Kluyveromyces lactis: one gene and its partner. The protein of the gene in region 1 interacts with the protein of each later gene in a pairwise test. Links are inferred from orthologs where the notes say so. Each region holds a gene or a part of one and is shown on either strand. Other genes may lie near its edges.

Evidence for each region.
Region 2: the proteins of CDC31 (region 1) and THP1 interact in binary tests that used the Saccharomyces cerevisiae proteins (3 or more experiments, as listed by UniProt). The link is inferred for Kluyveromyces lactis from reciprocal best matches to the Saccharomyces cerevisiae genes CDC31 and THP1.

Annotation. Positions count from the first base shown.
Region 1 is NC_006039.1:836,031-838,854, reverse strand, and holds CDC31 (centrin), read left to right. Parts: upstream 1-1,494; coding exon 1,495-1,998; downstream 1,999-2,824. Other genes in the region: NIP100 (Nip100p), read right to left, coding at 1-1,226; MRPL40 (mitochondrial 54S ribosomal protein uL24m), read left to right, coding at 2,300-2,824. UniProt on the Saccharomyces cerevisiae protein: Functions as a component of the spindle pole body (SPB) half-bridge. At the SPB, it is recruited by KAR1 and MPS3 to the SPB half-bridge and involved in the initial steps of SPB duplication.
Region 2 is NC_006040.1:315,097-318,575, reverse strand, and holds THP1 (Thp1p), read left to right. Parts: upstream 1-1,368; coding exon 1,369-2,730; downstream 2,731-3,479. Other genes in the region: YNK1 (nucleoside diphosphate kinase), read right to left, coding at 264-722; type 2A-related serine/threonine-protein phosphatase SIT4, read left to right, coding at 3,404-3,479. UniProt on the Saccharomyces cerevisiae protein: Component of the SAC3-THP1 complex, which functions in transcription-coupled mRNA export from the nucleus to the cytoplasm.

The DNA of each region.
Region 1 (2,824 bases):
TGGCTAAGCTTTGCAGAAGATACCTCGTTCTGGAATTGAAGCTCATTATTCCTTAATTGTAACGAAGTAAGTTCTGCTTGTAATTCTTCAACTTCTGGTGACATTTCTTGAGAATATTGCCCCGATTTATTTTGCAGTGATTGTAATTCATTCTTTAAGGTTTTGTTGTTTTCCTTCAATGCGTTAATTATGCTCTCGTCAGTAGAGAGAGTTTCCTGAAGTTTCGCTATTTGAGAATTTAGCTCCGATTCGACCTCTTTATAAAGTGCTTCTAGTTCTTCATCTGCCAATTGAGTTTGTTTCAACTTGAGTAACTCTGACTTAAGACAATCAAGCTCCGTACTTAATTGATGGTTTTCTGTAGTAAGAGATTCAATGATGTTATTAGAATTACTATTCGCACTGAAGTGCTGTTTCAATTCATCTAATGTTTTTGTTGTTTCAAATAGTTTACTCTCTAAGGCTGATATTGTTCGCAAATATGTCTCTGCCTGGGTTTGCAGTTCTTCATTACTATTTTTCAAACCGTTGCATTGTTTCTGTATTTCTGTTAGGTCTGATTGCAGCTTTTGTAGTGCAACCGTTAATAATCTGTTTTGCTTGATAAGGGCATCTGATTCTACTGATTCTATCTGATCAGTGTTGACATCAACGTCTGCTTTTCTTCTTATTAAAATTTCTTCTTTATAATCATTAAGCTCCTTCAAAGCACTTTCATGAGCAATGGTCAAGCTTTCTAATTCAAATATCAGTGAATCATTGCGTTGCTCTGCCTCATCTCGTCCTAAAGTTAATTTCTCCAATTGTTCCTCGAGAAATTGCACTTTTTCAAGCTCTTTTGATCTCAATCCCAGCTCCTTTTCAAACGAAATACATTTGTCATTAACTGACTTGAGTTTAACTTCCAATCTTCCAATGATCTTTTTCAATCGTTCGGGATCTGATGAGTTAGAATTCGTAGTATCAGGATCCTGAAATTGTTGCGAGTTCGGTGCAGAATTTTTATAGATACCCTCTCTTCTACTGAATATACCATACATCCGACCTTTTCTACCCTCACTGAGTTCAAAGTACCTGACTCCCTTGACGCTACCATCGTTCTTCCCTAAGGGTTCATCTAACTCAACACCGATCCAAATCCCCGCTGCAAACTGCGTCTCGCCTATAAACCGTACAGTTCCTGCCAGGCTGCGTAGCACTACCCTATCTCCTAATTCCAGATCCATTGTTTCATTTTAGAACTAAAGAGTAGTTGATCTGGCAGTACTGTAAGGTATTCATCAGTTATTGCCTTCATTTCTTTCAGGATATGTGTTTATGTTCCTTAAACTCAATATTGTCAAAATAATCATAAACATGAAATCTTTAAACATATTTTAAAGAAGTTTCACGAAGTTTACGCGTGCAGCAAAAGAGGTAAATTAAGAGGTTCGATTGACTTACAGCCAAGACTCACAACGGCAAGAAATCTAACCCAATTCGGATCATAGAAACATGAATAACAGAAGGCCCAGTGGACGAGTAGCGAAATCCGTGGATAAATCCACTTTACAAAAGGAATTATTAGAAGAACAGAAACAAGAAATATACGAGGCGTTCTCACTCTTTGATATGAACAATGATGGATATCTCGACTATCATGAATTCAAAGTCGCTCTAAGGGCATTGGGTTTTGAACTCAGTAAAGGAGACATATTAGAACTTATCGATAGGTATGATGCAGACGGACGCCGGTTAATACAATACGAGGATTTTTACCTGGTAGTAGGAGAAAAAATATTGCAAAGAGACCCATTGGATGAAATTAAACGTGCCTTCAGGCTATTCGACGATGATAACACGGGCAAGATCTCATTGAAGAATTTGAAACGTGTAGCTCACGAACTAGGTGAAAACCTTACAGACGAAGAACTACGTGCCATGATTGATGAGTTTGATCTTGACGATGACGGAGAGATCAATGAAGAAGAGTTCATTGCTATATGCACTGACAATTAGTGCTTCACGACCATTTCCATTGCCACAGCTGGAGCCCTGTGCCGCATGTATATCTCACCTTGTATATCCTATGTAACATCAAGCTATAATACTAAATCAAATGCGAAGAATCTGATAGTCTAATTCGGATCACGTGCTTTCATTTTTCCCTTCCAAAAAAATTTGTCGATGAAAAACTTGAAGGAACGGAATCAAGAAAGACATATGTATCAATATGGTACTATGGAATGAACCACAAATGGTTTATGTTCTGTGAAAAGGACGGTGGTATTCGATACTAGAATAAAATAGATCAGCGGGTATGTCTTCATATAAACATTTATCGAAGGCTGGTGCCCGTTTTTTGGAGCAAGTTCAAGCGAAGAACTCTAATATTGCGAAACAATTTGCCAAGTATGAAGGTTTGACGATGCCAGAGTTCTTGAAACCATCGTTGCCTCGTGTCGAAGAATCCGAGAAGTATAAGAGTGTAAAGCAATGGAAATATATGCCAGGTGATAGAGTGGTGATAGTAAATGGAAAGTTTAAGGGCAATGTTTGTGCCATTACGCAGCACGACGTGCATACAAACGGGTATATTTTGGATGAGAATGGACCCACCAACACTGTTCCTGTGCCCAAGCAATTTTGGCAACAGGGGCAGAACAGTCATATGGTGAGTTTCCCTGTCCCCGTGAGCCAAGCGGACATCAAACTAGTCGCTGATCTCGATGATCCAGAGACTCCAGGTGTGGCTAAGACTGTTGCTGTTCGTGACATCGAATTCAAGGGTTCGTATTATGATTCAGATTACAAGAAAATTATGCCATATAGGGTTGTTGTTGGT
Region 2 (3,479 bases), on another chromosome or scaffold:
ATAAATGCAAATTGAACCGTAATCGTATCAGTAAGCTGGTAGAAACGTGAATATACCCAACGCAAGTCGGGGTTACAAATATGAATACAACATCGCAGTATAAAGCTTAATGGATTTCAAAATGTGTGTATTTGAGATATATCTACATAGTAATAAATACCGACACACAGATACACATCATATAAGAAAAGACATCTTTAAATATGGAATAATTGTGGGAAAGAATATGTATTGATAAAGTGAACAATTTGTCAACGTTACATTTATTCGTAGATCCAAGACAATTGGTTCAACTTGTAGTCAATAAGTTCTTCCTTCTTGAACCACAAGCCGATTTCCTTTTCAGCAGATTCAACAGAGTCAGAACCGTGACAGACATTTCTACCAACTTCAATGGCAAAGTCACCTCTGATGGTACCTGGAGCAGATTGCAATGGGTTGGTAGCACCCAAGATAGCACGACCTTGCTTAACAACATCCTTACCTTCCCAGACAGTAGCTAAAACTGGACCAGAAGTCATGTAAGACAATAGAGATGGGAAGAATGGCTTGGAAACCAAGTCAGCGTAGTGCTCCTTCAACAAAGCTTCGGTTGGAGTAACCAACTTAATACCAACCAATTTGTAACCTCTGTCTTCAAAACGAGCTAAGATCTTAGAGATCAAACCTCTTTGAACACCATCTGGCTTGATAGCAATGAAAGTTCTTTCAGTGTTAGACATTTTTCTCGAGTTAGTTAATACGTGATTCTGTGTACGATCCTGCTATGAACTAAGAATCAATGGAACATAAGCAATCGCTAACCCCAGAAGTTGAAATAAAGTGCATGGAAAGAAGAAAGTTACTGCAAATTGAAATCAACGAAATTGAAATATTTCTCGAGAGAGCCAACGAATGAGGATCCGATTCATGCTCGATGAGATTGGTGCAGACGAAGAAATGCCGGGGAAAATCGAAAATGAGAGAAAATTTTTCCGGCACGTGACTTTGATTAGTTGATGTTTGGGGCTTCTTACTGAGGAAGCTGTAAAAGTATGGTTCATCATACACAATAGCAGAAAGGTGTCCATATCGTTAGCAAGCGCATTCGGAGGTTGGGATTAGGCGAAACACTGTATGTAAACCCCAAAGAGTGTTTATGGATATATGTCGAGGCAAGTCTTCAAGTGACTTTATCGATCACGTGACAAGAAAAATCAACAAACGGAAATCATGGTCTCTTGAAACATTGTACCTGGCTCATCTAATATTAAGGTTAGAATCAGACAAATCAGAAAAACTTCTGGTTGACATTTGACTCAGATCACCTTTATAGGACAAACTTTGAATTGAAAAGCGCCAGTGGATTTTCCTTTGTGGTTTTTGGTTATGGACCATTTCTTTGGGGCTCTAAAGGCAGGTGATTTTAGTGTATTGGATATAAACATCGAAAGAAATGGACAATTAATTCTTGAATTGCAACAGTTTTTGAGATCCAATGACAGCATTGACCTTGAGACCCTGATAAATTCACATTCTCTTTATGAGAACAGATGGACCAGGTTTAATAATTTGGTAAGTTCATTTCTTGGGTACTGTAAAGAACTGAATCCATATTCATTATGGGAATCGTCCTTCTCTGTGTTCCAATATTACCAGGATTTGAATACATGTCTCACAAACGAGACAACAATGTACCCTATTGATTCTTTGGTACCACTGTTTACAGCTACAACAGAATTGGTCATTCCAATGGCTATTAGATTGGATGCTAACCATAAGATCATTGGTACAAGACAGCATCAGTTTCTGACCCATATTGCTTCCATCATTTCCAAATTGTTCAATAGCATTAAAGCCAGGGTCGATGATGATAAGGTCGAATTTGATCATTTGTCAGGGAAACAGAAGGTCTTGCTTTATATTTCAAACAAATTGAACATGATTTATTTCAAGATTAACTCCCCATCTTCGTGCGCTAACATCTTCAAGAATTTGAAACCAAAGTCTAATATCTATTCGTTCAACCAATACCCGTTGACAGAGAGAATCCAGTATAGGTATTACTTGGGGAGATATTACCTATTAAACCATAGAATGGTTAATGCTTTCCATCAGTTGAACCAATGTTACGAACTCCTAGCCACATTACCCGACTCTATTGCGAAACAGAACAACAGGAGAAGATTGTTGAAGTTTTTAGTTCCATGTGGTATCATTATCAGCAAGTTGCCAGATTTCAACAAGTTATCTCAATGGGACCCTATCCTAGCACAGAAATACACAGCTCTTGTGATTGCCGTTAAAAACGGAAACTTGAACAGAGTAAACTTCTGGCTTTACGAGAACGAATCGTGGCTGAAATCATCTAAATTGTTGATTGTTCTATTGGAAAAGCTACCCATTATAACGTTCAGATCCCTTTTGCGATCTATTTTCCTATACTACTGTATACCGCGCAATTCAAATAAACTACCATACTCTGTGATAAGACCAATTCTAGCAAAATCCATCGGTTTATATCCACCTGAAATGCCATCGATATATAAAGACAATTACACCGCAGAATCACTTGAAAATATCCTTGTCACACTTTCAATTCAACAATTGTGGAAGGGAAATGTGTTTCCAAGCCTGCAAGTGTGCGTTACGATGAAGACTAACGATATCTCAGTAATCTTCCCTAATATCAATGAAAAGATCGTCTCTAGATTTTCGTTGAACCAGGAAGATTCCTGGCTCGATAAGTAAATGATAGATAATATACATATAGTATGTAAAAATAGATGACACAGCCCCTCCTAACCTGATTCGGGTCCCACTATCATACCCAGTCGTGAAACACTTTTGGAAGACTCAATTTTTACAGACATGTCTATATAGATATAAGAATGCTCTCACATATATCTGTTTGTCTTCCAGGTCACATTCTGCAAAAAAAAGTAAGAAATTGAAGAGAAGTTGAAATTTTGTTGAAGTTTCCATTATTTTTGTAAAAGGACTGATGATTACAACAGAAAACAAAGAGAGAAGGAAACATCCTTATAGCTAACTACTTTGTTAACAAGCTTTTAGCCATCAACAAAGAGTAGTGATATAGGGCTGTTCTTTGTTTGAGCTATTGAATTTTCCTATAGTGAGTGAGTGTTTCTTGTTGAAAAGAAAAGGTGCAAGAAATACTTCCAAACACAGGTTTTAAGCTTGTTGTGGTTTTTATTTACAAGAACGCTAATCATAATCACTTTACAAGAAATTCAGAAGGAATTTATCCCAATTTTTTCACAGGTAAGGACTGGGTTTTATTATAATTATTATTTTTTTTATTGACCTTTGAACTTTATCTTCCCTTGTAAAGGTTAATTTGCCATTGCATAAGTTCATCTATCTATAGAGCGTTTTGTCTCCGGAGTGCTAAAATATCACAATGTCAGATAATGGGCCAGATTTGTGGCTTGAGAAGATCAAGAAATGTCAGGCTTTGACGGAGTCTGAGATGAAAC